2 linked regions of the Drosophila melanogaster genome follow. The protein of the gene in region 1 interacts with the protein of each later gene in a pairwise test. Each region holds a gene or a part of one and is shown in the gene's direction. Other genes may lie near its edges. The genes, in order: Sox102F and pdm2.

What was found.
Region 2: the proteins of Sox102F (region 1) and pdm2 interact in a two-hybrid assay, tested with the Drosophila melanogaster proteins (one large-scale study listed by BioGRID).

The regions. Positions count from the first base shown.
Region 1 is NC_004353.4:824,105-841,066, reverse strand, and holds the start of Sox102F (Sox102F), read left to right. Parts: upstream 1-6,673; 5' UTR 6,674-7,688; intron 7,689-13,142; 5' UTR 13,143-13,208; intron 13,209-16,962. Other genes in the region: fd102C (forkhead domain 102C), read left to right, coding at 2,059-3,858.
Region 2 is NT_033779.5:12,647,034-12,663,995, forward strand, and holds the start of pdm2 (POU domain protein 2), read left to right. Parts: upstream 1-10,131; 5' UTR 10,132-11,040; intron 11,041-13,218; 5' UTR 13,219-13,432; coding exon 13,433-13,898; intron 13,899-16,962. UniProt on the Drosophila melanogaster protein: DNA-binding regulatory protein implicated in early development. Involved in neuronal cell fate decision. May act as an octamer-dependent activator of transcription.

The DNA.
Region 1 (16,962 bases):
TATTTCCAGACGTAAAAGCATGGTTGTTTAAGATAAGAAGGTATCCGTTCTGATTTAAAGTACCTTCTATCGGTACCAAGTCTCCGAATCCATAATAGGAAAGACATCCCCAAAACATGACTGTGCCCCCACCAAATCTATTGGTTGGCTGGGCTGCCAAATGCTTTTGATTATTTTTCAAATGCATAAAATGCTTGCTGTATGACCCCTGGTACTGAAATGCAGACTCATCAGTCCATAAAATATTAAACCAAAAGTCAAGAGGCTTCTTAACATATTCCAACGCAAATCGAAGACGTTTTGTTTTGTTGGTTGGTGTGATCTCAATCGTTTTGCGAACAAAGTATGTCTTAAAATCAGCTTCTTTTAGCCTGCGACGAATTGTAGAACTACTAACTTGTTTGCCAATTGTATTTTTTGATTCTAAGGCAATTTTTACCGGACTGGCACTAGGATTCTTCGCCACAACTCCAAGTATTTGCCTGCATTGCCTTTGGTCCAGCACAGGTTTTCGGCCTGATCTTTTTTTATTTTTTAATGTGCCAACTGTATCAAACTTTTTTATTAAGTAGTAGACAGTTCTACGCGAAATTTGATATATTTCAGCTATTTTGGCCGCAGGTGTACCGGCTTTAAACCTAGCAACAATACCAGCCCGGGCCTCAACTGTTAACTCTTTTGTTTTGGGCATTTTATTTAATAACTGTAATAGGAAAATGATTAAATCTAATTTTTATTCAATAATTTAAATGTATTTAAGCAAACAAACCGGCACTTGTCACTCTAAACCAATCACTGAAGAAGAAATTGCGTTGTGAAAATAATTGTGATGCGACGAAACCGTGTGCAAATACTTCTGACAACTGATAAAGATCTCTTCATTTGCCTCTTCCTTGCGCATAGGAACAGTTATTTTTTCAATTCTTCTTTCATCTGACTCTGCATAGGTTTGAATTTGCAAAAGCAAAAGTTTTTTTGCATTTCACCTCCCCCCACTTGCTGCACAAGCAACTGTTTGTGACCCATGCACAAAAATGCACTTTGTGAAAATAATTTTGACCATGACTGTATGTACCTTTACTTCAATTGCCGAGTCAGCTGTTACTCGTAGAGTAGAAGGGTATACTAGATTCGTTGAAAAGTATGTAACATGATCAGGATCAATAGCCGTGTCGATCTGACCCTGTGCGTCTGTCCGTCCGTATGGACATCGAGATCTCAGGAACTGTAAAAAGCTAAGAGCTAGAACTGTAGTAGCTAGATTCTAGAGACATAGACGCAACTCAAGTTTGTTAAACTGATAAGCATGCTGCCACGTCCACTCTAACGCCCACAAACCGACCAGAACTGTCACTTTTGAAAAATGTTTTAATATTTTTTCAAATTTTTTATTAGTTTTGTAAATTTCTATCGATTTGCCAAAAAACTTTTTGCCAAGCCCACTCTAACGACCACTTACCGACCAAAACGGACACGCCAATACCAAAGACACTAGAATATTGTAGTAGAATCTTTGCCCATACTATTGAAAAATGTGCTGATTTTTTAAATATTTTTTTAGTCATGTTAATTTTTATCGATTTGCCTAAAACTTTTTGCCACGCCCACTCTAACGCCAACAAGTAACACAAACAAAAAATGTTTTCTTATTTTATTCACAACATCTAAATCACAGAAAAATTATGAAGTTACGCGCAATAACATGAAACTAGAAAGTTGAGATTCACCATGCATATTCTAGAGACCTATGATTCAAGTTTGTTTCGAAAATTTTACTACAAACTGCCCAAGGCTGCCACACCAACAGTTTTGAAAAATACTTTTTTTTCCTCATTTTTATATAAGTCTTAACAGTTTCCATCCATAGGCTGCAAATATTTAGTCTCGTCCACAAACGGCGAAGGCTCCCATGCCGACGATTTCGTATATATGTATCATTTTCTTTTTTATATGGTTGCCTATGTAAATATAATAAACTTATTTTATTTTAAACAGGTCGAATTGGATGGTCTTCGATAGTGTCACCAATGTCGTTTTAGTGTGAATGTTAAGTAGGAAATGGCGCACTCTGACATATGTGCTTTACAGACGACCACTGCTGACCAGGATCAGGGAACGTCTTCAAGGGACAGCAATGTTCCCAAGCCGTCTTTGCCCAACATCTACCCACTTGGAACGACAAGAACTTCACAAGCTCAATCAACGACGATGACTTTGGAACAATACCGCCTCCAGCTGTATAACTATGCACTCAATATTGAACGACTACGCTGCCCCCAATATGGTGGGACGGGTGGCAGTGGAGCTAGTGCTCCTTGGTTGCATTTAAGCCCCTACGGACACCATGGCTCAGGCAGTCTTCCATCAGTTAATCGAATGGCCGCTCTTTCAACAATTTCCCTCTTCCCACAAACGCAACGCATTTTTCAACCTGAGGAGCCTAAACCGCAACACAGCTATATTGGTTTGATTGCCATGGCCATATTGAGCTCAACTGATATGAAGTTGGTTCTCTCAGACATTTATCAATATATTTTGGATAATTATCCTTACTTTAGAAGTCGGGGGCCGGGATGGAGAAACTCCATCAGGCACAATCTCTCTCTAAATGATTGCTTTATCAAATCTGGACGAAGTGCAAATGGCAAAGGGCACTACTGGGCAATACATCCAGCCAACATGGAGGATTTTCGCAAAGGGGATTTTAGACGTCGCAAGGCGCAGCGTAAGGTCCGAAAGCATATGGGTCTATCGGTGGATGACGCCAGCACTGACTCGCCCAGCCCGCCGCCTTTGGATCTTACAACTCCACCCCCACCGAGTTCCCAGTCTGCTCTGCAACTATCTGCCCTGGGTTATCCATACCACCAGCACTATATCGGCCAATTCTTTAACAGGAGCTCAGCACCTGGTATGACGCATTATTCCCCACCAGATCCAGCCTTGTTAATGCAACGACAAGAGGCGAATAACCTAGATCAGACAATCCAACCAACTCAGCTCCAGCAGCCACATTCCCATCATCAGCACTTTGCCTATATCAACTCCACCACGACAACAACAATCGCGAATATGTTTTCGCAGACGCGGAAGCGCCAGTTTGACGTGGCTTCGCTACTGGCACCCGATGTCCAAATCGTTGATATTGTCTCTGAAGACCAGGAGTCGTCAGTTACGCCAACCACTTCGGCGAGGACAACAACTCAAACTCATCATACTGTCATTACCAAGCAAACAATACACCGCGAAGTTGTGTTGGGATTAGAAAAACCTGTGCAAGATGCAGACATAGACGCTGATATTGATGTAGAAGTTAATGTCGACGTGGTAGACGATAGCATTATTCCTGATACTGATTCTTATACGGATGGGGAAGACAGGAAAAAAACAAGGGGCACTTTGAAGCAAATATTTTCCATTGAGGACAATAACTCGTACCTAATCGATGGCAGGCTATCTTCATTTGATGCCGATCCCGATCATGACCCCGACCACGATCCAGAAGACCTTGAACAGCACAACTTTTCAATTGCCAGCTCCGCAGCCAGGTCCTTGGGTAGCAGTAGTAGCCAACACGAGGAGTCAAGCTCACTTGAGGAATGTCCTATACAAGAGTGCATTGTCGCGCCCCAAACTGCACTCATATCGTCAATGGCTACTGCGAAAACATCAACCCTGTCAGTTCCCATTTCAGATGCGTATCTTGAACTGAACCAGGTTGATCAACACATGCTTAGTAGGTACTACGGGTCGTATATTGCCGCAGCTGCACGACGAGCAAGTATAGATGCATCAAATACTTCGCGCACTTCCTCTATTACGCCGCCTCCAAAAATAGAAATTCTCTCGCAAAAGTAAAAGATAATTTCATTGGCAAGAAACTACAATAAAAGAACTAATTGTCTAAAGTTATATAACAAACAATATTAAAAACTGACCACCCACCCACAAAATTTCATACCATAAATTTATATTTATTAAATAGAGTTCTTTCAATGTAGACTAATATTTAAACGTGCATAACAAATGTTAAAATATTGTTAAACTTCATAGATTTCAAAATAAATTTAGTGAACAAAACAATTCAAATTTCTGTCATCTTGATATTAAAAAGGTTACATTTTCAGCACGGTTCCAGTTCTAGTCATTACAAATCTTTAGCACACAAAATGCCGGGTCTGACCAAGAAAAATGAGTACTCAAGACTTTATTTTAATTATATCTTTCTGTTTATTAATAAATAACAATTATCAAAAATGCATGGGTCTCAGATACTTTGGGCTACTAAGGAGAATAAAATGAGAAACAAATTTGAAATCGTTTAAAAGTGTGTGGGCGTGACCGTTTTCGGCGGTTTGTGGGCGTTAGAGTGGGGGTGGCAACATGGGTCAACAATATGGTTGGAAACGCTTCCTTCTTAGTCGTACTCTACGAGTATAAGGGATAACGATATAGTCGAGATCCTAGACCATCAAATACCCGTTACTCAGCTAGTGGGTTTGATAAACATAACATTTCAACATTTTTGGACATCGACAGAAATTGGCATAAAAATAATTCATCTAAAAAACCCAAAATGTATAAAATGACAGTTTGAGCGGCTTGTGGATGCTGAATGGACTTGGTTGAAATGCTAATGCACATAATATAACGAAAAAATTATGAAATTATATTTCAAAAGTGTGAGCGTGGCAATTAGTTTTTTTGCAAGTGGATATAAATTTAGAAGACTAATGAAAATTAAAATATCAGCACAATTTTCAAAGTCAAGGTTTTCAACGTTATATTGGGCGTGGCAACACCAGGAAAGAAATTCTTTCTCGCTTTTAGGATATGCCCAGTTCAACTCGGCTATTTATCCTGATTATAAATATATCCTTTTTAGGGCTCTACCTGTTATATTCTTTTTCAGCAAATCTAGTATACCGTTTTAACAAAGAGACAAGAATAATACTGTTTCACCAAAGACACTAGAATAATATTCTAGTGTCCGTCATAATTGCAGTAGCAAAAGTGCCATCTGTTGGTAATTATCTATACCTAAAGTAAATTCACCAGTTTATATGCGCTGCCAACCTGCTTTCTACACTAGTAAAGGGCTGCCATTCTCATTTCTGATTGCAGCGGTTCGTAAATTTTGGGATGGCAACGCCAATCGTCCTCGCAAATCAGGATAGCATTTTTGGAAAAACTGAAAAAATACCGGCGATTTCTGAGAAAGTATCTCTACTAATAACTTACATATGTTGACCTGTACAGCGTTAGAAATCCCGAGGAGAGGCATTCCAACAGGCTTGAGTAGCGCATGGTGTAAGCTCAGGACTATTAGCTACTATTATGTCTTGTGGTTTTTATATAATAATATGTAAAACATCTTGTGTATATATACAAGACGAAATTTATACATTGGGTGTTGCCTCTGCTTCTTTTTAAAACATTATTGGTTTGGTTCAAGGACAACCCTCGCACGCCGAGTTTCAACTTTATCGAAAACTGAGTACTTGATTTGAATAAAATATACATGTATAATAGGGATGGTAACAAAAGTTCAAACTGCGACGTTGGAAGCAAAAGTTTTGGTTCATATATATAAGACGAAATTTATACAATGGGCCTGTGCTACAAAAATTATTATTATTAGTATTCTCCGTTTAAAACGTTATTGTGTTTTTTTGTAGTTCAAGGACAAAGTTTTAAATGTTTAAGGGTACAATACAATAATAAATTAAATGCCTTATAAGAATACCGCTATAAACATTTTTATTTTAAAATACTCAAATGAACATAAAGACGTCAGGAAATTTTTTATGTATTATAACATGTTTTTTAATCTTCCACTTCTTATTATAAATCAAAAAGAGCTTCCTAAAAACTCTTTAAAATAGTTATTTACTGTAAGACGAACTTATACGTTTTTTACCAAATCCTAAATTACTGAACATAGCACAGTGTTAAACCAATCCGAGACATCTATCGAATTAAGCGATCACACCTACCAATTTTCAAAAATTCAATAAATGAATAATCGATTTGATTGTAATCGGAATGCAGGGCTGAGTTTAATACAAGCAGATCTCAAAATATTGTCATGGCCACTCTAACCGTCCGAAATTTTATTAATATTAATATTTATTAATATTTTTCCATTTGATTTGTCTGTACAATTTTTATTGATATACCAAAAATATTTTGGACATACCCAAAATGCGGATTATGACAAAATCATATATATTCCAATATAATCATATAATCATTACGTTTCCGCTTGATCGTATAGTAAGTATTTTATACACTTAAAGTAAATCTTGTTAGCGATCTCAACCTGCGTTACGATATCTCAACGAAAACAGTCGTGGAATTGCAATTCAAAAATATATGGAGACGGAGAACGAAGCGTAAAATTTGCAAAGTATCTGCTGTATAACTGGACGTGCGCAAGAATACCAAACTTCAGACAGAACGCAGAGCCGCGATTGGATAACAAGTCACAAAACCAAATTTCAAATTGAATAACCACGCCTCTTTAACATTATTTGCTTCTCTGCAAAAAAAGAGAAAATTCCGTTCAGAAAGAGAAACCAAACATGTCCAAAAAATTTCTCTTAATGTAAAAACTTAACATATGATTAACATGCAGTTAACAGGCAACAGCAATGGAAGTGGAATTGGAATCAGTGACCAGTGAACATCGCTACACAGTGGTGGTAACATTCCACGTGCGCGGGCTAACCTATGCTGCATAAGACCACACGACTTTGAGTCGGAACAGAATGACTTTTGACTCAAAGCCTGCAATGCACCGATTGCAAAGATTTGGTTGCACACACAAGTTGTACACAATGGATTCTCAGGGTGTTCTGCCTTAAGATCGTGCACTCACACCACTATAGGACCCAACACACTTTGCATGTGAATGCGGTGCACGTGCATCTGCATCTGCCGTGTACTCTGTGTTGTGCATTTGTGTTAAGTGTTAGCTACAAATCATTTCACTACAAATGTCCACTGAGCCTAGTGATGACTCAGAGCGATGTATGTGTATTTTATATTTTCGCAGTATACCGTTCCATGTAGTTCACATTTTCCCTAGCACGGACCAAAGTCAACGCCAAGAAACATCAATTAAGCTCAAACACGCTGAACAGTGCAAAACGGTTTTTGTGCGAATCAAAAATTACTCTTGCAAGCTCCGTGAGCGAGGGGACTAACGCGATGCATCATTGGTAGAGCCAACGGAATTTTGATTAGATACGAAGATGAACACAAGTAGTGTCTTTACACAAAACGCGTATTAGGAACTAGCAATGGGTTGTCTGGAAATCCAAACCAAATGGGAAAATGTATATCTTTAAGCTTATAGCTCGAGGGGTGAGAGCGACTAGGCAGTTTTTGTACGGCCCAGAAATTCCCGAATATGTGCCATGATCCAAAGTATCAAAACGTTTATCGACGTGTCGTTAGGCAAACAAACGGAAAATAATCGGGCGCTGTAAATGTGAAGCAGAAAAATAAAGTGAATTTTCAAAGTGCCATAAGATAATATACATAAATATACGCATCACATTTATATATATTTGTCCTATAAATATCTATAACTTGCCCACGGCCGATAATACAATCCTTGATGCACCTAGTCAAATGAGTACAACTAAAATATATATAATATCAACCGGGTTCCGTAAGAAAAGGTGAGTATACTATGCTTCCCCGCAATGACACTATTCAAATTCCCCATACGACAGTCGTAAAAGATTTCCCCTACCACAACTTTTGGCATTGTTCTTCCAAAAGCTGAGATCTTAGGCCCGCGGTTCGGTCAGTTTTCCCGAATCATCGCGGTTTGTTATGCCGGTTGCTGCTCTAAACAAGCATTGGTCGCGACAGGTGCATTGCCACGCGAGAATATCTTTCGGGAAGGGGAGGGAGGTCTGAGGCAACGATCGGAACTGGAATCGAAATTCGGGCTGGTCGCAGATGGGTTGGAGGATGGAAGGAATGCTTCATGAGTAGCTGGCTCGAAGAAGTTGGAGATCGTATACGAAATGGCTCAGAGTGGACTGGTTTTTGAGGTCGCATGTGCTTGTGTATCCGTGGCCGAATGGGGACAGAAACGAAGTCGTAGATATATTAATGTATTTTATTGCGGATTTCCAAATCCTGTACATACTAATAATTGGAATTCTACATTTATGTTCTTTAAAGTAAGACTCCAGTTTGATTTTGATTCGCTCGAATTCGATCGCGATATCTAGTTTTCATTTGGCACTAATGATATGGGCATTGAACATCTTACACAATTGTACTTGTCGAGCTATTGCTTTTGTTGCCGCTTTCCGACTGTCTACTGGAATTGTTTACTCGTTGTCCCGTGGTGTCACTCTGGATCGCCATAAATTCTGGAGCCCATAAGAACAAAAGGCCGTGTTGCGCATCGTTTTTAGCAGGCTCCTCGGTTACATCAAATAGACAATCAAATGCAAAACAATGATTAAAGCACCACCGTCTTTTAGGCATCACCTTTAATGCTGTGGTTCGGGCAAATCTATCCCAATCTATTGTAAGAAGCGCAACGATGATTATAGAACTGTAACATCTTTTTCTGAGAGTTCAGATAAATGAATGATGGTTTAGGAGATGGTGAAGCATCGAATATATCGTTCAATTCCTTAATGATGTCTTCTTGAGCTTTGTACGGTTTGTAGCTTACACTTTACAATAGTATACTTGTTATCAATTGCGGAGGTATATGGAATAGTTATTTTTGAGCAGAAATACTTCATGCACTTTTAAAAGATCCACAGCGCTTACCCATTTGCACGCACGATCATTAACTTTAACTTGAGGAGTACGTACGGGGGCAACATGACAGGTTGTTTATCCAGTTCTGCCTGAGAGATCTGGCAAAACTGGCCCACAGAAAAATTAGCAACAACGAACTAAGCAAGAAAATAGTTTGCTTTCGGGACCGAAGCTTGAAATACACTTGGAGTCAGTTTCGCTCGTATAGGCATCCTTTCATAATAATTGGATTAAATATTACGCAATTGATCATCGTATTTGGGACAAAGTATACTAGGAAAATATTTTATATCTGCTAAGTGCATAATTTAATTAGAAAGTTATTAAAAATAGAAAATAACTATTCGTCTCTTTAATAGATCTTGTTAAAGTTTAACTACCTATTAAGTGAGTGCATATTTAAATGTTGAAAAGTGTTTCAAATAATGTTGTTTCTTTAACAACATAACTCTGCGTTTCCATAGGATCTAATTTGAAAAGTAGGTTCATAAAAGCTTACAACTAATTTCCATCCCTGCAAACATGCTTTTACGCAAGCGTCTAGATCTTGCAAACTGCAGTGAAAAACATGTTTTGGGTTATATAGATAAAGCCCGAATCCACATAGCCATGCTGCAAATAGCGTCGATCCGCCGGGAGGACATAAGACGACAGTTGGCGGGAATGCTGCATGAAAACTAGTTGTATAGTTGACGCTAATGCTGTTGTTTTTTACGGCAATGTACAAAAAAAAAAGCAACCGAGTCGAAATATCAACAGGTGAATGCGTATCCAAGAAATCAATAAAAATAAAACAGGAAATATCTGCGGATCGACGATGCGAAGGTAGCCTTTTGGCAAGCTAGTAACTAAACCACAACAGCCCGTCCAGCTTTAGTTGTTTAAATATTATTGTTAAACAAAAAACAATTCAGAAATGTATTAATCTAATAAACTATTTGTACCTTACCTTAAACATACTCCATATTACACATAGGGGTGGTTACAAGTATATACGTTAATCGTATAGTATAATAAACATATAAATTTATCAAGACAAGCAGTGTTGATCTGGAAATGTCCGTCCATCTGTCCATATGATTGATATGATTTAGACTTTAAGCGCTGGTCTTAAATTTGTGGAAATACAAAATTAAAAATTTTAAATTGCATGTGGTAACGTAACAAATTTCAAAAAATGTTTAAATTTCGTTTCTTCGGTTATAATTGGTTACAAAATACATAGATGAGTATCGCACACTATGAGACAGACACACAGGAAAGGCTTCCGCGTGGGTTATTTCATGATTGAAATTATTGTTACACATATACATATATTATAACCTATATTATATTTTTATTAAATAAAGTGGAGTTTAATGTACAACCACTAACAAAATGCAATACAAATAAAAGAGCTTCTCATCAGAAATATGCAGAAAAGGCTGGTGTCTAAAATAGCCGCTCTACCACTTCTACATTTTCGAAGCCGTTTGTGAACAAAAAAAATTTCTGGGATTGCAAAGGCTTTGAAAAACTTTATTGACAAATAATATTCCTAAGGTATTATCACTTACTAGGTAATAGATTTGAATTTACTGAGCATCTGATGGTCAAGAATATCGGAGTTACATTTTTTACTTGACCAGATGATGTCAACGGTAAAATCTTTGAGTGAGGAGAATCAAGTCAATACGACAATTGCATACAAAAGTTGTTTTGTTTGTCCTATATGATTTACACTCCCCCACCCACTCTGATTTTAATCAACAGACGATGCGTCTGTTTTCGTATTCTCGAGTGCAATAACATCGCCGCAGAGTGAGTTTCTTTGAAACAATACAATTTGATCAAAACTTTTAGATTGTCAAATGTATAGTCGAAGTTTATATTTTTGTTTTATATTCGCGAAACGCGTAAAAACATTAGCTGTTGCTTTTAAAGAAAACGAGTCTATTACGTTCGTTGAGAACAGGCACAATTAAGCGTTTTATACACTTTTTGTAATACTAGCCGGGCAAATATAGACAGTTTTCCATTGCTCTCGTTCTGTATGGAATATCGGATAGTCGAGGCACTTCACTTCAGCTTGGCCAGTTGATTTTTTTTATTTTCTTTTGTAACAAACGTACATATGTATGCTTGTACAATTTTCTCTTCTTGCTCAAGGCCTTAAGAGTAAAATAAATGAAAAACAAACATCACCGCGCTTCGCATCAAAAAAAAAAAAAAAAAAAAAAAATTAAAAAACAAAGATAACAAGAAAAACAGAAAGAGTTCAAGTCAACGACTCTGTGACCATTGCAGATGCGGTACTGTGACTGCATCTGAGGCTTCGCCCAACGCAAAATGATGCATTGCTGATATCTCATCGATGCGGGGAAACGTAAGGGACCAAACCAAACCACTTCGCTGTATTTTGCTTCTTCGTCTTACACGCAGTTTCAATCTAGTTGCCGATCGTCACTCGCTTTCTTAAACAGTACAACACGTTTTCGTGCGAGTGTACTCAAATATAAAGCCAAAACTATAAAACGAAGTGATACCCTTTTCAACGACATGGACAAGCCTTTTACGTAATGCCTTTAGCAATGCTAGTTCATAAGGCTGAATGTGAAAGGCAGATATTTTATTAGGGGAAGACATTACCAATTAGATTGATCATGGGCGAAAAGTTAGCATAACGGGACCGATAACAGTGACCGCCATAGTTTTTATACCGGTTACTCGTTGGGTGAAACAATATATTGGTACTCGCTACCAACCATATAAACAATACAGAATCTCAATCAGGATCTCTAGCCTGGCTGTATGCGTTAGGAACTATAAAAGCTAGAAAGTTGAAATTGAAAGTTGAAAATGTTTTGATTTTTTTTATTTGTCTTGTCTATCGGGTTCTCAAACATTTATTTTGCCACGCCCATCTAACGACCACAAACTGTCATCCGCACTCTGCCCAACTTCTATCGGTATTTTGGCCACGCCCACTCTTATGACCCAAACCGTACAAAGCCGCCACGCGTTTAATTGTTGTAGCAATAGCTGAGTAACGGAATAATAACAGAATAGTAACGGAATAGGCGAATAACCCGACTATACCGTTTTCTTTTGTTTTATATTCGTTCTTTAAATATAAACATGCATTATCAATTTAACGAATTTTGTTTAAACACCAAAGATTGCAACAAGAGGGAACGCTGTAGTCGAGTTTCCCGACTATCAGATACCCGTTATTTATTTATTTAAACTTCAAACTTGAATTAGCATAAGGATGTGGAAGAGAGATGCATAAAATGAGAACCGCTTCTTATACCTTTGCATAGGGACAATTATATCAGTCAGAACGCAATGAAGGTTTATATATCCTTGATCAGTATCAACAGCTGAGCCTTTATAACTATATAACTAGTCTCTGTCTCTATGTGTCTCTATAAAATCGAATAGAATAGAAAAGCTAATTTTTAATTATATTTGTGTCATCTCATCTGTTATAAGGACAGATATGAACACCAAGTCTAAAATTAACTCATATATTTACCGTTTTAACTTTAAAGTGACTCATTTTACCTGGCGATACTCAATACTAAAAATAACTTTAAAACTGCACATTTGCGGAGTGGGTATAGAGGGGATTGGTTAGGAGGGCGATTTGAATGTATTTATACGTTTTTGTTAGTACATGCATACAAAAGGAGTTGGTTGCATATGCAGAGCAGATGTAGCTCAGATGTGGTTTATAAGCAATCATCTCACTGTCAATCGGTTAAAAGTCTTTAGTTTTTGCACTACAGGGAAAACGAGTTTTAAAACATTTCTTCTTCATTTATGGTTTGTAAGAGATTCTGCTAAAACAGTCAAAGCCTCTTTTGCTCCGTTGCAAATGTGTAACCGAATTACTATCACTTTCATACATAATGTCGTGTTTTTGCATAATTAAGTTCCTCATGATCAAGGACTATTCCATTCTATTTTCTATTCTCATGCAAGACCAAAAGGATTGGCGCACAGCTGCTACTGCCATCGACAGTTTTAAATGAAACCATGAATACTCAATCTATTGAATGTCCGAATAGTCACATTTCAAGTAATTCAATAGCAATAATATAAGTAGGTCCCTATCTGGTCTTTTTATGGAGACACCATATGGAAAAAGATTGCGTTATGAATTTTATCGTAAGTACATTCTGCTTGAAACTTCATACATTATTAGCAACGATTGAAAGGAAAGCAAGCGTTGGAGAACCGAGATAGAAAGTTTTCTTACAGTTTTGATGATTCTAAGATTAAACTCCACACAGCCAAAAATCAATAATCTTGCAAACCTTAATATTTTCTTATTTAGACGATTTTACGTTTTGTTCCAGATATCATATCTTGAGAAATGGATTAGTAATTTTTGTAAAAAGCTTGGCATCGATTGTGTGAAAAGGGTAAGTAGAAAAAGTGCACCTCTAAAAGCTTGTCAAACTTGCAATTTATAATGGGAAGTGTAATTGCTTTTATCATAACTTCTTTATGTGTGAGGTGCGATCGACTAAGACAAATTAAAAAAGCCATGTCATCTTAACGTATATTTATCAAAATTAAAGTATAGTATTAGTGTTCCAAATGGGTGAAAGCGGATGTTTTTGTTGCCTCATAACTTTCAAATGGGTGTGGAAACTATACAATGTTGTTGCTGTAGAACCTGTGTTTTAGAAAATGTTCATTTTAAAAAAATTCTCCTAAATGAAGGCTAGAATCTACGCCAAACTAAATCAAACCAAGTTAAACATCCTTTCAGGGTCAACCCGAGAGACACATTTCATGCTTATTACACTTGTCGCACCCCATTGGGTTTAGCCATGGTGTTATTCGTTCACCCTGCTGATTACTTTGTTTTCAGAAACCGTCATCTGTCCTATACTTAGTATATGAAATCCCCCTTGTCTGCACGTAAATGCAAAGACATTTGTCGGCTTATTATTCTGGACGGTTTTCTTACCACATTTTAACAGTAGCCATGAAGACCTTGAAAGGGGATGAAACTTTTTTTAATACCATATTGATTCGCAGTCATTCAAACGAAGTCTTTAATCTTTTGAGATCTTTCTTTAGTCCTCACAAAACAATAGTATATTTATCAATAAATGTTGGTGCGTGTCGTGCAGTGGTAAAAGTGTCACATAAACAAAAGTGCTCTGAAAATTAAACCTTTCGGACCGACAGGATATTGCTCAGGTTAACATATATGTACATATATACCAAAAAGTGTACTTTATGGGTTTGGAAATGCTTCCTGTAGTGCAATTTTAGCTTATTCTTGACTTAACATAATGATGCTCTTGGGGTATTCAAAAATTATACGAAAGTGCCTATCAACACTGAAATCGGGTAGAATATACATATTGAACGTATGTATGTTACTGCTCAATTCGAGTCTGTAAAGTAATGTATAAGGGTGGAAAAAGGAATGCCGTTCAACAATATTCAAACAGCGCAGTTTTAATTTTAGCAGTCATATAATAGTTATCAATTTAAACAACAAAAAATGGTTAAACTTATCCTCAAGCACTGATCTGCAAACGAGCATATATGAATCCAACCAGTGTCAAGTTATGCCTACAATGTTAAGCAGAGTCTTGCCTATAAGTAAGTATATATTTACTTATGATAGGAAAACTTCCAGTCCTTGTTTCGGAAGGCTGCTGCTAGATAGAAATGCACAAACATAAGCCTACATAAATAATACATGGACCTGTCGGCGGATGGAAGTCTCGACAGCCGGATAAACGGAGCAGAAAATTTAGTCCTTTGTAAGCTATGCGAGGTCCAGTCAGCCTTTTGTTTGCGCCTTTTTGACCAAACAAGTGCACCATCAACAAACAAACAATACACACACAAAGCGCATTCAGTAACAAAACAGTCTTAAACAAAGCAAACCACTCTTTGAACTCCGATTTGTATGAGCGCCTCGATCCCCATTCACTGCCTTGAGTAAAAAGGATTTTACAACTCTCCGTGGTTTTCATATATTCATGATATTAAAATGGTCATAAAGTGCATCATAGTCTTAGTAAGCAGCGACATCTGACAATAAAGTAAATGAAGGTGAATACAATTTTTTGGCACACTCTTGTTCTGGCGAACAGACAAGCGGCGATCTGACAGACGGACGGATTTACACCCGTTACTCATAGGCCAGGTTGGCTGGTCTAGTGTTACTGATCAGGAATATTTATATTTTATATGTTCGGCAACGCTTCCTTTTACCTGTTTTACTTTTCAACGAATATAGCATACCCATTTACTCCACTAGTTATAAGTATACCACGTAAATAATCCGTTCGGTCAACACTTGTCAAATTTTTGTTTAGACAAATAAAGTTAAGGAGGGGTGCCTTAAAATTAAAAAGACCTTTACATCGATGAAAAAACTTTTAAGGGCAATACAGTTAGTATTTAAAAAAAAACCCTTGAATCATATAATCTATTACGACAAAAAAGTTTTATTACATTACAGTGCTATGTGAAAAATTATGAAAAAAATTAAGAAAATATTGGCTAGATACATTCGCATTGTTGCTTTTGACATATACGAGTCCGAAGTACTATATTAAAATTTGATTATACAAATCTATAAAAAGCTTCTCGTCTATTCTTCTTTCCGGGTTGATAAGATCTGTGATTTACGAAAAAGTTCGTTTTTAAAAAACATTTTGTATATTTGATTGCCTTAAATACAGTTGAAGCTGTTTGATGGAATTACATGTTTGTGTTTCTTCAATTTGCAAAGTAGCAAACGGTTCCTTTCAAAATGCCAGCAAGTTTCACCAAAGGACGCTCTTTGCCTTTTCCCCTTAGAACCGTATTCATTTTTAATGCCAGCACGTGTTTGAGCAGCCGCATTAGGTCTACTACCAATGCTCGTAAACAATGCTCGCCACAATCAATAGAACAGACCAAAAGTCATGGGAAGGTTATGACCTCAATTGAAAATTCATTAATGCACCAAAAGGATTTTTTATGTGCTTAGGATGTTTTTTGCGGCTCTCAAAAGAGGGGGAACTAATATTTATTGTATGCACCTTAGAGCCCACACCAATAAACCACGTGCCTACCTAGCGATTTTGGAAAGAGATCGCCCAAGAATACCTTTAAAATGAAACGAGTGGTTCAATAACTGTTTGGCAATAAGAGAAGTGCACACATTGACCTAATTTTTTGTAACCATTGTAACTGTAAAATGAACCTCATACAAACTATAAGGTTAGCATTGTTATTACTAACAGGGAAGTACTATATCATAATATTATATCATGTCATAAGCAAGCTATTATCTGCATGCCTAATCTCAGTTTTTTAGCTTTTATAATCGAACGTCATACAGAGAAACAGGCGGATGAGCAGACTGTAGGACAGTCAGTCGCTTAGTTATCCTGAATGTAAAAAATTCTACCTGTTACATACTTTTCATCGAATCTAGCAGGTATAAATAGTTCGGGCATCAAACGAAATACAATACTGTTTTCATAAATTTCAATTGTATTCTCACTTTATATTATATATACATACAAATTGAAATGTAGCTTTTTGTTTGGAAAAAAAACTTGTATTAGCCTCGAAATATCGAAAATGTGTTTAAATCGGGGATTAAAGTGTGCTGCTGTAATTTGCAAAGTATGTACTTTGTAACAAAGCGTTTCCAATAACTCCCTTAACCCTCTGATGGTAATCCTACTGGCTTGCCGTAACTAATTTGTTATTTATTTATTTTCGGTTTCCATTACTAGCCCTTTACATGTCTTCTAAAATATACAGGATGTAATTTTTTAACTTACACGCGTCTACGTATATGTAGGTGTCTATAAATATTGACATTTTAATACAAGAGCAAAAACAGCCTGAAAGGAAAAAACCATTGAAGCAAATTTGCGGAAGCTATTTGTAAGTGTACAAGTCAATATTTGTCTCTACAACTGTATAAGAATCCACATCCACATGGACGGGCTTATGTGCAACCCTCTATGCGCTTACATAGAGGAATACAGCATAAGCAATATAACTCGTGCGGATGGAGTCGCACTGAACGGAAGTCATCATTATAAATAAAATGTTTAGTTCAAAGCGAATCGGGCAAACAATCATTTGTTGTGGAATGGCACGGTAGGCATATATTGCATTGGACAGAACTTCGCCTTCTTA
Region 2 (16,962 bases), on another chromosome or scaffold:
GAGCGCTGTTTTTTTTTTTTTTTTTTTTTTTGGTTTATTTGGGTAACGCCTCTGATTGTCGCTGATGAATGCTGCAGCTGTGATTCGTCCAGGGAATGGAAGGCATTCGGCTTGGAATAGGCAAGGGAAAATAGGTTTCAGTCAACCAGGAGTGTTCTATGAAGCTTTAGAGTGAAAACATCCATTTTAAACACTTTATTGCAATTGGTAAAATTTAAGAGGCAGGAAAACAGCGCTTGTGAGCTTTCTTATATTTTTTTGAAAACAATATTCATACTCAAGAAATTTGATTAGACAGACATACCTACTATTATATTAATTTCACCGATTAGGCCTTCTTATTAAGAAGTAAATTAGTTGTACAATGATTGAAGCAATCAAGCTATCAGGGCCTCTTATTCCCTAATAGCCAATTTGTTCATAATCACAAGCAACCAGACGGTTTGCATAACTTGACCTGCGTTAATGTCAAAAAGCAGAGAAAGTACATTATGTTCTGATTTTTTAGAAATATTTTCATTCTACCCTTGAACCCATTGCATCTAACCTTTAACCTTATCCTTTGATTAATTCACCGTGAAAATTTGATGACGCGGGCAGTTATCTATAGCATTTAGAACCTGACCTCCAAAGAGAGAATTGACCTAGGTTGACCTACCGTGAAATTTGGTAGGTTTTAAGTGTATATGACAGAGCGCAACAACGGGCACATGAAATGTAACCAGACGGTTTACATAACGCAGGACATTTGCCAAATCGAGTGCAGTCGATGAACCCCATAGGAATGGATGGCCAGATACAACGATACAAAGATACAGAGATACAAGTTACAGATGCGGAGAGAGTGAGAAAGTGCCGACTGCTAAATACTCGTACTTGCAGTTTTATGAGCCAGCGGAAAAGTGAAAACTGGCTGCAAAGAAGGAAACACAATACAATTGGACACAGTCGCTGGCCAAGACGCAGGAGTCAAGGACATGCCACAAATCCGGGCAGACAAAGTACTGGGTTGGGGGTGTGGTTTCCCTCCCCCTGCGAGGGCCAACACGAAGGTCAATGGAAGAGGCCACAGTGCAAGTGAAAAATTCGCGCGAAAAAATAATCAAGTTTTGCAGCGAAAGTGAGATAAATAAGTGTTGGCCAGATGAGGTCAGCCAAAGGGGTGGGACAGGTCACTAAATGGGGGTGGTGGCATGTTATTGAATTCAACAGTTTGCACTTGTTTTGGGGAACATCTCTAGTTCCGGGGAACTTTGTCTTGGGCCTAAAGCAACTTACCGACGGCATTCGCAAAAGGTAATTTACTCATTCTAAAATCAGAAATTTGGAACTTCGATATGATTAAAAAAAATACAGTAAGTCTAGAAATATTTATCAGTAGATACAGATTTATCTAGGATACATTAACGTTGTTGTTTAGATGAGGAAAACTGATGTTAATGGGTTTCACCTATTACTTTGGTATAAGAGCATTATATGAATAATACATTTCTTTTCTAACAAATTTCACGTATATTTTTGTGGATTTTTTGACGAAGAAGCATAATTTTAATATCCAATTATCTTTTCAGTTGCTTCAGTTTTAATTAACCCACACCAAACCAAACTCAATCCGAGGCGCATTCTAATCAAAAATTATTAGGTGCGTGTACAGAGAAAGACCATGAATGAATGAGTATGAATAAAAAACATAAAAAAAAGAAAAATGCACTGCAGCACGCAAAGAAGAAGGGGAGCCTTTAATGTAGAGTTGGGGGAGGCAAACTGTTTTCGCGTCTCGAAGGCGACGGTCGCGCGCATGACTCGTAAATAAAATTGTAGCCACAAGCAAACTGAGTACTGATCTTTTGGGATGCACTTGAAAAAAACATGGTTACCTATATGCTATACTTCGGAAAAATAGCAGTCTTTGGAACTTTAGGGCTTAACAAATATTAATTGATTAAATGTCTTGTTCTATTGAAAAGTACGACTTCTTTTCTAACGAATATAAACCTCGAGCTTTGATAAAGCACTAAACAATTTGATAATATTTTAGTATATTTATTTTGTTAGCGCATACTTTGGAACAGAGAGGACTGAACTCTACTAGCGGAAGCCAGCGAAGATCGGACCGCACAGCAGCCAGCGGATTGGGCAAGGTTAGGATCAGCTTCATCTTTTTCGGCCGGTAAATTGCTGGACTCGGTTCTGTTGCAAGACCTTATCAGATCGCTGGGAGGCTGCCCGAATCGAGTCCCAGATGTGCTGGTGGCAAGTGCTCCCGATCCGCAGGGGCGACGGGGCACCGGGTTTTTGGGAATCTCGTTGTGTGGGAGCTGCTACGTAGCCATTTACACGTGTGCATCCTCAGTTTTTCTCGCTGGTGCGTGTTCCATAATATTTAAAAATCGCAAAAAGTTAATTGCGAAAAATTGTGGCTGGCTCTTTCATTTGGTTCGCTTTCCATTTTTTTGTTGCGTGAGCGAAGGATAAATGATAGTGATAAGAAAGGCAGCCGGAAAAATGCTTAAGCTGATGCCAGCTTCAAGTTGTTTGGTTAGATGTTCAACATCAAATCTTATGATTGAAAAAAAATCTGTAGGCCTTACCAATTATTTATTACTAATAGGAAGTTACTTTTGCATTATGTTAAAAGGGATATAAAATGCATTGGCATTCGAAAGGCCTTTCCCACTGTTTATTCAAAACCAAAGTCTAGTATTGAACTCAATTAAAATCGAAAACATCAATACTTATCTCAAACTATTGATAACGCTGAACCCAATGCATTATGTTACTTTATTTGCTCTGCTCTGCTGAAAGTGAACCAAAACGACCCGCAGCTAAAAAAAAACCATACAAAGCCAACAAAAAACGAAGTAAATATAAAAATAAATAAACTAAAGTGAATCGAAGTTAAGGTAGGGTCTTGGAGGAGTCCAAGGAAAACAGCAGGAAGGCCTCCCTCCGGCGGAGGTTACTGCCACACCACGGATAGTGGTAAGTGCCGGGCTAAATGGCTTCCCCATTAAGGCTCATTTGAAATCAGACACGTCCGATTAAAATCTCATTTCTCACCTTGTGGTCCGTTTCGACTGCAGCTCAAATTGGAGTTGGGCTCAAGCTCAGGCTGAGGCTAAAGCTAAAGCTGCGACTTCCATTTCGAGGTATTGCACTCAAAGAAAATATTGAAATTTTATATACATTTTTTGATCTATTCCAATGTTAACATAATATGCATTACATTTTAAACTGAAATTAAATCTAATGGCACAAAAAGTATGCATCTTAAAGTATTTTCTAGCTTCTTTATATAGAGACCAAATTTTCTACTGTTACTACTTCTTCTACTATTATTTGCCCAAATTTTCGCTAAGTGTGCTTTCGTAGGACTGGCAGTCAGGTATGGGGAAAGGTAGAGACAAAAAACAGCTGCAGAAAAAATCATATTTAGCTGGCGAGCAAGGCAACAACTTTAACTTCCAGTTTAGCCACCAAGGTGGCCAATTCTGCAGCTCCTGCCATCGATAGGCTGCGATAGAGCCCACCGAAGGTATTTCCGAAACATCCCGAAGGCAGTCACTATTTCACGCCTTTTTGCCACTTATTAAAATAGGCAAAATGTCTATTAGGCCGCCAGTGAGCAGCCGGTGGGTAAACCACATTCGTTTTTATGTGGGTGGCTAAAAAAAAAAAACACCTGGAAACGGTGAGGGAATGGAATGGAAAACCCACTGGTATCGTGTCATGGTGCCAACTGGGATTCTCATAATCGCTTCGATTCTGCTTGTCTCTCTCCCAGATGGCGATTGTTAGACGTCTGATCTTCAACATCTCTGACGAGATACCACCAAGAGGGAAGAGTGTGCTGGGAAAATGTTAAAGGAATGATAGGAAAATTATTAAAAGTCATTTTAATAATGTATGTAATTACTTCCATACACTTTTAGAACCCGAAAACAATAAGGCATATATAACTTAAAACTCGTACTCCACTGCCACTGCTCCCCATTCCATTGAACCATTAAAAACCTTAATAATTTTTCTTGGCTTGTGCATCGCGATAAACACGCAAAATCCGCTCCACACACTCAACACCTTTTTGTTCTGGTTCATGGTCCTGTTCCTTGTGGCCAAATGAGATTTGAGCCGAGCCACCCATATTCCGCAATGAATCGGATCGTCCGTTGTCCCCTTTGGGCTATTTAAGCAAATGATCAGCGGCCACAGAGCAGCCGACACGCAACGCGCCCCGTCTTCCCCCGCTCCGCCCGCGTCTACCACGAACTCTTGGCCAAGTGTGAATTGTTTCGTGCCCAGAGCTAAGTTGGCCAGATAAGTTCAAAATGCAGGTAAGGCCTATAAATGGTTTCTTTAAGACCGCAACTTTAAATACCCTCAAATTAAGATTTCTTTCTTTTATTCAGTTTAAGATAAGTTAAGTTAAGTTTAAGATACACATTCTTAAAATATTATAGGTAAAACATTAAAATTTCAGTTTATTTCCCATTCTGTAAGTGTTTATAAATAACTTGATATTCCAAAAGGCAAGCCACTTCACTTTGGTATTCGTTAACAAATCCCTATCAGAAAAATGCTTGAAAGGGTATAAAGTTTTGGCTTAACTTGCAGCTGCCTCAGTGCAGGCTTTTTGCATATGAAAAAACTGGGGTCGAAGGAACGAGGAACCGAGGGAAATTGGCGAATTCTCTTGTGGTCCACGGGCTGGCGTGCAAATTCTTGACGTTTTTTCCCACATTAAGTGCATTGTTTCAGGGCTACCGGGCTTTGGTAGTGGTTCGCTGGTTTGGTGGCTCGTTGGTTCGTAGGGCACCTGAGAGATCTGGCCCCATGCAAAACAGCTTGTTAAGCACTTGTGCCTCCAACAAGAACAAAGGCACCAACACGGTTCCAGATTGTGTGCCCGACTTTTGGCTTGTGGACCTCTTAAGGCCCCAGTTCTTCGGGCTTATTAAGCAAAGCTGAAAAAAGGCCAAGAGAATGGCTTATAAAAAAGGTAGCAATTTCCGCGCTTAACTCGATCACGCACTATTATCATAATCAGTTTGGTCAAGGCGGAGTTGCACTCGTGGCATCATTATCGCTATCAAACTTTTATACGATAAAGAGTTGTGAGCAAACTGAAGAGATATTCTTATGATCTAAAATCTAAATGTGCACAAAAAAGGTTAGATAAAAAATAAATAATATGTGACATGTACATATGTTCTCTAGAAGTACATTTAAATATATACTAAAGAATAAATATTTGTTGGTTTCATTTCAATTATAAAATTGATTGCCGTTCCTACTCTTATCAGTGAGAAAAGTATAAATTTAAACACACCTTTTTTAACCTTACCCTGGAAATAAGAGTAATTTTCCTATTAAATTCAATTTCAGTTCCTGCCAACGTAAACACGAAAAGCACATTACTCATACGCCCTGTGGCGGCCTTCTGTTTAGCGAAATGAAATTTCTCTCCCACATTTCATGTAAAGGAAACTACAAAATAAACTGTAGCACACTCCACTTGAAAATTCAATAAAAAAAAGGGAAGAAATTGATCAAAATTGAAAATGGGCAATAGCTTTGATCTCCTACCAAATCCCCTCCTTCGAGCTTAGTACGTATTTTCGGCCACTCTCATGCCAACGTAAACAAATATAGAAAAGTTTCCAACGCTCGAGTGGCCTTTGGTACAGTTCGGTTCGGTCTCATAAATATTTAAAAATTAATTTCACAATATATTGAGGGGCCTGCGCTGATGTGTGTACTTGTCTGTGAGCGATTTTTCAATTTCATACTTCATTTTATGGCATAAATGCCAAAGTTTCAGTGAGGCTGGCAAAAAAAGAGGGAATATTTGGCTTATATAAGCTGCCATCATGTTTTATAGTTCCATTTCGTATATGCATTTGTGGGGAGGTTCTCTAAGGTGCAAAAGAGGGAGCAAGCGTAATTATATACGACCTCCCACTTCAGGACAAGGCAACGCCTTTTATACTCTAAAACTTGTGTATGTAGAGTGACAGCAGGGAGGTAAAATCAAGGCGGAAAAGTGGAGCAGCCGAAGATGGGGAGCACTACCAAGCACTACCTTTCATATGTAGCACTTTGGTCCAACGTTATCGTATTTTATGTGCAAGTGCTTCGTTGTCCTGCTACCAGGACCTCTATTTTTCGGTTTGCCATGCACACAGCCCCCATTTTCACCACCCCCACAGGTCATGTAGTTTTGCAACATTTTCTGCACATTTGTGCAGTTTTTCATGTTCCATGCTCTCATGTGCACCAGCCAGGATATGAAAATTTTCCAAGCGCAATGAACGAGTCTTGTGGACTGTGAGTGCGCGTGCGATAGAGAGGCACGGCGCAAGAAGAGAGACAGACTGAGTGCATCTGTGTGCGCATTCAAGTTGGGAAAATTGTGCACTTACATTATCATAATGGAAATGCTTTTGACTTGAGTGACCAGGGTTGCCAACGAGCAAATAATTAGGGGATTTCATTGAATTTTATATCAGTTGTATTTATTTCATTAATACATAGTAACTAAGGAATGCACACTTTAATTTGGCTACAAACACTTTATGTTTTCTTTATTATACTTATATTAATTTTAATTACTTTTCTTGGGATTATTAATACATCCAGATTTAACTAGTCAATTCCTAATTACATTTATATATCTATAAATAGGAACTTAGGTTTCTTTATTACTTGGAAACAACATTTTCTATTTAGCAACAAATTCAAATCTTCAACAGTTATTTGATTATAAAGATTTCTGTAAAGATACATGACTGACTGTCGTGGTGAAGATGTGTTATAAAATTCATATATATATACATAACAAATATAAAAACGAAATATAGAAACATCCCGCCATTACTCTTTTCTATTAGACTGGCAACCCTGTCTTAAGCACCTCTATCCTGCAACTCTGTACGTAAATGCAAGCGAAGCCAACTGTGCCATATTGCCCTGCACCTACCCGCCCCCTCAAGGCGGTGGTATATACAGCACCACCCCCTCTGGGCGCCCTAGGCAGCCATTGTATTCTGATTGTGCGCCTTATGGCCCAGGACTCCTTCAGGGCTCCTATATATACACAAGTGTGTGTGTGTGTGTGTGCGAGCGTGGAGAGATGGAAAAATATTATTTTTCATAAATTTTAAAATATACCATGGGCAGGACTGGGTGAGCGAGTGAGAGGGCGAGCCTTGTGTGTGTGAGCTTCTTTTGTCCTGCTTCACCCGTGTATAACGGTAAATGCCAGCCATACGTGGTTATATATTTGTACAATATACATATGTACACGTCGAAGGCAAAGTAGAGGAAAATGTATGCAACATTTTACAATGCAAAAGCCATTTACTTGGGCAACGTAGGAAAGCCAAGGGAGATGGAAAACTAAGAGCCCCAGAGAGAAAGAGAAAAAGGACCGTTTGCGTGTTGGTGTAAGTGTGTGCCGCCTGCATGTGTGTGTTTGCTCGTGAGGCAGTCAGCATATGAAAAATGAAAAGTCACAACTGCGAAACGAAAAATACGAAAAGAATACCGTTGAAATACAGCCTTAGGAAAGGAAAAAAAATATTTCTCCTCTTTGTTTCCCTATATACAACAAATACCGCCCGCAAGCATTTATATACACATAAACATCATGGGAAACTTTCAACTTTTATGTCGCCTCGTCCTCGGTGGGTAATGTAAATAAAAAGAGACAGGAAATGTTTGCGATATGTAAGAGCACACGACACAAAAAAAAAAGGAAAAGTGCAAAATTCTAAAAAGTTTCCACAGAACGCGGGGATGATATGGCAGGAACCATAACTTAGGCACCCGTCAGCTTAGCTTTGTTGGTTGGTCCTTAGGTGCTCGCCCTTCAATATGAAAAATGAGCCAGGGAAGGCAGATGAAATTTTGGGGCTGGGCGATTTTTTCAAGTTTTATGGGGCGTATACGGAATGTGGAATACCAAATGGAAGAACTAAGGGCACAGTTCAAGAGGTGGTTGTCTACTTTTTCGAGCGTGTTAGTTAGGTTCTGCATATGGTAAAAATAACATTTTTTAAATATTCAAGTAAACACCTGAGAACATATGAATTAGAGCTACAAAAACAATATTTTTTTCATATCAATAAAGAAAATTACATTTTTACTGCTTATAAGAAGAATTTTTTAGTTTTTATTATTTACCAATTATCCTTATATAGGTTTTTTGAACGTACACCTATTGTACACACAAGTGCTGCAAGTAAAATCTTCAAAAAGTACGCTCGCATCAGTTTTACTCTTCCCCAACTTCTTTATTTCATAACTATCTTTTGATTACCAAATAGTTACTCCGTGAATAGTTGGGTCATACTCTTCAGAACCTACCCCCACAAACTAAACCATTTTCAGACGAAACCCATCGATTAGTTGGATTTAAGCATCTCGAAACAGCGACAACTTAAATGCTTACAAAACAAGAATAGTGGAAAAGAGGATGTAAAGGAGGCTGCAGAGGAACCAAAACACAAGCAGACGGGCAGACAAGTGAATAGAAGTGACAAACCAAAAATAAAAGGGCCAAGAAGGGAATTTCCTCGGCGCTAATCAATGAAATTAAAGCTGCGGCCAAGGCGAAATATCTTTAAGGACTCACTACTGAGGGGGGGCGGCATGGGGGAGTGGAACATATAGAATAGTGAGCGAGCCAAGCTACTGCCAACTTTAATGAACGGAAATTAGCAGTCAAAAGGTAAAAGCCCTCTCGCTCTCTTTTTTTCACCCGCAGCATCTGGACGCCGCGGCGAATTCGCGCACATGCACACACAATGGCCAACGGCGAAATGGAGAGAGCTCCCCACGAAGAGCGAGCATGCGCCGCAAGAGAGCGCCAAAGCTCCATGCCGATTGGCTGCCGGCTGCCCACTTTGGGTGAGTGTGTTTGTGCGGGAGAGAGCGCGCTTGTTGGATATATTTCCCCAAGATTTTCTACCTCTCCCTCCGCACTTTCTCTCTCTTGCGTTCTCTTTCTGTTCAGGCATAAACAAACCATTTTGAATAAAATCAACAGCAACAACAGCGGCAACAACTACGTTGTTGCAACAATGTGGATCCCAAGTTGCCGAGAAAAATCAACTGATTCTACACTTAGAAAAGTTTTATATATTGGTTATAATACAATTTCATTAAAAGCCTATTAACATTATAAATTTACTTATAATTGTAAAAGAAATGTATTTAAAATACGCTTAGAACCTTTATATATAAATGTATAAATTATAATATATTCTATTTAGAGTAACAATAAAAACCAAATTAAGTTATACCAAGACGTGTTTGTGAATATTTGTTAAGATAAAATATAGAATTTAAGGTTTATTTCTGTTAAATATTAAAATGGTACAATAGAAAATGACTGGAATATATATTATATAATTTTTGTAAGTGTATGGTTACTACAGTTGCTTGTGGTGCTTCTTCTTCCATTTATTCAGCTAGTACTGCTCTTCTTCTAGATGCTTTGGCCTGGTCAAGTTGCATTCAATTGCAGTTTTTCAGTTGCCACTCCGTTGGCCGATTGTCGGTTGTCGTCCTCGCGACTTTTCTTGTTTATTTTTTCAACTAGCTGTGTGTGCGTGACAGCAACAACAATAATCTGAGGACGCCTCTTGTAATTATTTTAATTTATGCGTTTATCGCTTTTTGCCTTTTGCCGCCGTTCAGCGGATTCTGTTGGCTATCTGTCTGCATTTGGTTCGTTTTTTGCCTTGACATTCGCATTTTGACAGCACGGCGAATAATTCTCGGTTCTGCCATCATTGCAATGTCAATTTTTTTCATTTTTCATTCGCTGATATTCCGACTTGTCCACGGGGCGTATGCGTAACGCGAGTTGTGTTGTGATTTCTGGCAAGTGCAATGCCGTCGGAACATTGATTTTGAAAGGAATTAAATCTGTTTTGCCCATAAAATCATCTGCTTTAGTATTATATGTTTTATTTTATAAAACTTATTATTTTTATAAAAGAAAGAAAACGGTTTGGTATATAAGCGGCCATAAAAAAATCAAAAAATCTTGTATCTTGTGCCGAATAAATAATGAATCATATGATGAGAAACAGTACTTGAATCAATAAGAATTTTAATATATTTTATTATATTTTGCAAACTGAATTACTTGTATACCCTTATTCGGTTACTCGTATGAGCCTGACTCCTCTTCTCCTTCTCAATTCCCTTCAAGAGGAAATTTTCATGCCGCTCTAAACTACAAATCAACTTAGGAGCCCCCATATTATTTCTTCCCTCAACGAACAGAAGCAGCGGCAGTCAATACATACATAATTCGGAATCCGATAAGAGCCACCCACCCATATATACATATATAGAACACTCACACACACATATGCAGTACTATTTTCCACCCACACAATACAAGCTTTTCATTTTAAAACCTCCTGTAAAAAAAAAGAAGCAAGAGAAAGAAAAACGAAGTCAAACGCCCCAAAACACCCACGCACCACCCCCTCCACCTGTTTTATGGCTCCCTTTCCCCACCCCCACAGACACACACACACACACAGAGGCACATCGCAAACAGACCAATACACTGGCACACTCACACTCACTCACTCTCTCCAACATCTTCTATAAAAAAAAAGTATTTTTTGTACTCGCTTGACATTTTGTGGATACGTCGGACGTCGTCGGAAGTCGTCGCGAACTTTGCTTCTTTTTGCTCTTTCTCTTTTCTTTAGTCTGCTTTTTTTTCACTTTTTACTTTTTGCCCATATCTCCTTGCGCGTTTTTTTAAGTCAGTCGTTTGTCGGAAGTCAATCAAAAAGCGTGTCTCGGAGAATTGTCCCAAAAGACAGAGATCACCTCACCTCACCTCGACGGCCCACAGAAAATGCAGAAAGGGCGTGAAGCTGTCGCCATTCTCGTTGGCAATTACAATTTATAAAAGTGTGGCAAAGTAAACAATTAAATTATAATTCGTGACAGCAGGCGAAAACCAGTAGAGGAAAAACCAGTAAGGAGGTGCGCCATCTTCCAGCCCAAGTGAGTTTAACTCTTTTTTTTCTTTTGTACCCACTGAGTGTGTCAAGGAGCTTGTCTTGTAACGCCCACACTCAATGCGATCGATGGATCAGCCAGATGGATGATACAGATGCCGCAAGAGAGAGAGAGAGGGCAGAACTGTTTCTTCTGGCCTGTCAGATTCCTAATGAGCTTTCCCAAGTGTCTGCGCGTATTTCAGCGTCCTTAATTGGCCATATGTGTTTGAGGGCCAACAAGTGTCCCGATATGGCTGACTATGGTAGTTGGACGGGCGAACTGAATCCATCATAGAGATCTTGGTCGGGCTTTAGCTAATCATAACAAAATTGTGACCATGTTCTGGTCAAATCTTTAACAATGGAAAATCTTAAGGTTAGATCAAATTAAGATGCAAAATGTATTAATAACAAGCAATTATCTTCAAAATGAGGCAATATATATATATATATATTGAATATAGTATTTGATTTAAAGGATAGTTTAATAACTTTTTCTAAATTTGTTCCATTCCATATATTTTTCATAAACCTTCTGTGATTTGTGTACCCTATCTTAGATGTGCCACATATATATTTTTATGGGTTTTTTACAATTCCACTTCTGGCAATGATTCGATCGATAATCACGACAAACAATTTCTCAACCGAAAGTCAGGCAAATCACATCATCGAACTAAGTTCCCTCGTATCTTTACAACCGAACCGTGTACACCCAATAGAAAATTATGAAAACACAAATTCCAAATTGAAGACAAACACAATGGCAATGTTCGGTATTATATGATCGGCGATACGTTTCCAATTGGAGTAAGCAATTGTGTTTAATTTTAAAACAAGATGAAGTTAAACAAAAATAGCGAAAGCCCCGATATTGTCGGCCCAATAAGGAATTACCGTGCCGATTGGGAATTATTGAAAGTAGCACCGAGGAATAAGTGACTGCATTTAGTCGGCGTTCGCTTTGATCATACCGGCAGATATATCGATTCCTGGCAATTGGTTGCTGACATGCAAAGAACATAATTTACCGACTGGCAAAATTGATAAACAATCTTCGTGTGGCACTTTGGTTGCGGCCAATTTGCCGTCGATACTGACAACTCAATTGATTTGTTTACAAGTGCCATTAATGTTAGTTGCCCCGACCCGCCTCTTCGTGGCTCATATGTACATAAACCCGTTTGGTAATGTATGTAAATAACCATTTCCATAAACGCACTTGCACTTTTCAGCACCGTATCTTATCTGGCCAAGTTGACTTGTTGTTCGGGGCATTTGATCGTTGCGCTTGTAGTTTAATTTCCCATTTCTATTTCCTTTGATTTCATCGCCTTTTGCCGTGATTTTTCGACACCCACCCACCCACTCCTTATCTCATTTGACTTCAATTTGTTTTCAATTTACAACAATTTCGTTTCAAACCACATTTGGTAAATGTGCCCATTTTCATTCTCCCATTTTTTGTTTGCATAATAATACAAAGTTTAGGTTTTAGTGCCTTTTATGGTGTCTACTGCTGTAAAGTTGTATACAACCACTTTTCACTTGTGGGAGCTGATTCGACAGGCCATGGGAAAATTTAGAGAAATGTTTGGACTGCTCAATAAACGAATTTAAAAGAGCAAACATTTAAACTATATAAATTGCGATATGTACTTTTATGACATGTTTACTTTCGAGTGGTATGGAATTTCTGTAATTATTTAACTGAATGATATAGTTTCTCACATATTAACATTTTCATTCAATGCTAGGTACAGTAAAACTTCTAATCAGTAACTTACTTTACATTTACCTTTTAGAAGAGAATATTAACTTTTAAACTTTTACCCTTATATATTTTTTTATCAAAATACAAACTTGTAATCGCAGAATGGGCTGACAATGCAATATACTCATGAGCCAGTTAATAAACTAAACTAATTAATCTCAGTTATAAGGTATACAAACATCCGTTCGATTTCAAACAAATCCACTGTTTCCACCTGTAACGTGAAAAGTCACGTGTACAGGAATGTGGATGGGTCAGTTATTTTAAGGGAAAAATCAATTACTTCCGCTATCGAGTCGTAAAGATCACAGCGCTCTATGTATTTAATAACAGCTTTTTAAAGTGCAGTTAACAGCAAATTAGGCTTTCAGCCGAAGAAGACACTTTTAATTATCAACCCATTTGCAGGCAGCAAAGGAGGCAGAAGGAGGAATACATATCGCCAGCGGTCCATGGGTCAATATCATAATCTGAGGCAGCAACCGGAGCGGCAAACAAGTCGCCACAGGCAGCAAGGAGCAGTTGAGTTGGCCATAAATCAAAGCGACGCAATTTGCTGCTGACGAACTGCAACGCAACAGCGGCAACAAGAGCAGCAGCATCAGCAGCAGCAGCAACAACTATGCCATTACTGCTGGCAACAACACTTGCCAACAATTCCCATCATCAACACTTGAGCACAACAGCAACAGAGACAGCAGCAGCAGCAGCAACAGCAAAAGCAGCCGCAACTGCAGCAGCAGCAGCAACAGCAACCATGTTGCTGACTTCGCCGACAGCAGCAACTCATTGCCTTGCTGCTGCAACATCGGCAGCAGGTGTTAATGTTCAAATTACTGGCCAAGGCGTTTCAGCCACTCTGAACGACGATCAACTGCAACTGCCGGCTAATTATGCCGCTAACGTTGGCCATTTGAATGGCTTTAACCCTAAAGACAACTGCCCACCAGTTCCACCCACCAGCGAGCGGGCTTTTGAGGGATTGCTACGCCTGCCGCAGATACAAGTCAAGCAGGAATTCATGGAGTCGCCGCCAGAGAGGCCTAGCTGCCATCCCATGAACCACCAGCAAGCACCAGCCAATTCAGGTGAGTTGACCTTTTTCTCATCGGAATGGCCATATATTATAAGGCCATATTATAAGCAAATGCATAGGTATTCTTAAATTATGAAAATGTTGTAAATGTTTTTTACGAGTTGCCAAAGCCTTTAGGAGATGGTACACGTTATTAAGAGCTAAATATCTTCATTTATTCTATTAATTGTAGCACTTAAGAAATCTAAAATGTATATATTATACTCCACCGCTCATTTTAACACTACCTTTGGACCCCTTAATCAAAATAATGCATTTTAGTGCTTAAATATAGTATATTATAATATTTTCTATTCTCAGTCTCCATTTAAACGACTGTAAGTTATCCACCTTGCAAGCCCCGCCTGAGTCAATAAAACCCCATAAAGGAGTTAACCCTTTTCAGCCCACCGCCCAGCATCCACACAAATGCATATGTGTATTTAAAAACCCATTAAGTGAAAAATGAGGTATTTACAACGTGTTAACAAGAGCACGGCCATTTTTCATGGTCTTCGGCCCGAAAAAAAAACAGGCCTCAAAAAGTGGGCGAAGCGCCGTATGCCAAAGAAAAACTCGTGCCAAACGCATGCTTATGGGATTTTCAATTTTTTATGCATCGAAACAGATTTCATTTTTTATTGGCAAAGGGGTCGTCGTCATCTTGATAGAGCCGAGAAAAAGGATGCGACACAAGGGACCCAGACCCGGGCTAATATTGCAACAGAGTGTGGTGCCACGAGTGCGAACATTTATGAAGATTGAAAGGGTTGTCAAACACTTCATCCGTCTTAAGGGACAAGGACAAGGAGAACCACAAGGGGTTCAAGAGGGTGCCACACATCCTGTTGCTCCTGCTGCTCAATCCAAAAGGAAAAAGGGGGTTGCAACATCTTGTTTTCTTTCGATTATTGAAATTGCCATTTTGCCGTTTGATGATCTCACTCGGGGGACTTGAAAACACTTTTCGTGACCTCAATTGTTATTTAAAGCCAACCGAGCCCCCAGACCCCAATTTACACAATATCCAATTTAAATAGGACTCATTACCATTCATCTTCATATGTAAATCCATTTCCTCTGGTCCAGCTCGGAAATGCTCACATGACATGCAAAACCCACAAAAAATCGAACCTCCTTAAGTGCGCAATTATCAAAAATTTAATGTAAAACAAAGGGTTGGAGCACTAAAACGAATAAGTTCAACACGCGACCGGAAATTAAGGTCGATTTAAGCAAATGTAACTCACCGAAGTTGGTTTCTTTGATTAGATTTTCTGTTAGATATTCGTGATATTCATTCAGTGCCGAGATCGTTAGCATTTGATGCTATCCATCACCCGACTCTGAAGCAAGCTTCCCATTACGATTTGAGCCATAATTTGCCATAAATGAGCCAACTCCATACAATGCCACATCTGCGGCAGATCAATGATGGGAAATGGTCGGACTAGTTGCTAGCTGCAATCCAAAGGTAGTGATTCCAATTCTAGTACGTTAGAAACTAAAAAAAAGATAGAAAGTGACACTGAAGAGATACATTTTTTAAACAATAATATTTTATTTAATGCTGCAAATGCAGCTCACAAATTATGTCTTTATAAAACAATATAAGAATACAATTCATGAAAGAGTTCGGCACAATTTTTCCATCAAGATCTTAGGAAGTAACACAAACACATGCCCATTTCCCATCTGCATAGGGGTATTCAAAGTAAATGCTGTTTATGCAGCAAGTGCCGGAAATGCAAGGAAAAAGAAAACATTCGGATGCATCCTCGTTTCCCAAGTTTGCTGCCACTGGGATCTGTGAGAACCTGAGATCCGGGTTAACAAAAGGGAAACGGCGTTAAGAACTCAAAGATTTCATTCAGAACGCTCTCGGATTTATCTCGCCAATCTCCGCCAGGAACCGAGATGAACTGTCAGACGGAGATGCTCAATGCATCGCCGCATGAATGAAAATAATTATGATAATTGCAACTGCCACGAGATCAGATGGGTTGGTTGGTCTAGGTATGTTTTGTGGCTTCCTCGGTTTCTCGATTCCCCGACTAATTGTAGGATCACTGGCAGCGGGAACCGCAGCGGCAATTCGATGGTTTTCAGATGAGGAAAACCCAATAAATCCATTGTGCGCTTAATTATTGTCGAAATTCAAATTGAAATGGTTGGGTTACCTGCCTTCTTCTCTACCTGTCCTACCTGCCGCATCATTTATCTTACCGAGATGCGCGAAATTTGAATGCTCAACGACTGCACCTGATCTCTCTATAAATGCATCTCCATATGATCGTTTCCCCATATATGTATGTATTCCCTCGTCATATATATTCTCATCAAAAAAAATGGGATTTTCTTGTGTGGAAATTAGATCCTATTTGGCCCAGCGTGTGATTAGCGCGCCCCTTTGATCCGCGCTGATGTGCTGCTGTCGGTTGCATTTGATTTATATTCAATTGAGATTCTCCGATGGAAAGAAGACAGGTTCTGCCTGCTCCCAGACGCAGCAATTAAATTCAAATCAAACATTTATTTAAATTTTATGCATCGGTTGGTGGTTGATTGAATTGCATTGAACTGGGATTTTCCCGCAGCTACTGAAGATGAGTGCGATTCGAGATGCTTGGAAAATAGTTTAATGATGAAAGAGCTATAAAGCACCTTACTAAAGAGTACACACCATATCTTAGGAACCATAATCAGGATTTTTAGTTTTGATGACGAATTCCTTCTTGAAAAACGTAGTTTCATTTTCCTTCGATTTCCAACATATTTGTTTATTCACCCAAAACAATTGGTTCACGTACTTTCGATCGTTCTGACTTCATGAACCCAAGCTGATCCCATTTCAAAGAAACCAAACCGGAAAGGCGTCAATTAGACAAGGCCCGTCTAATATTCCCCACCAAATTATGCATCATTAATCAATAAATGGTCGCGTTAGGAAAGATGATGCCCCAGCTGACGCCGTCATATCTTCACACCTTCTACGGGGAAGGTTCAAGGAATTGCCGATGGAAAACCCTTGCAACAGATGTGACTACGTGCAACGCTAATATCATTTTAATCGCGCC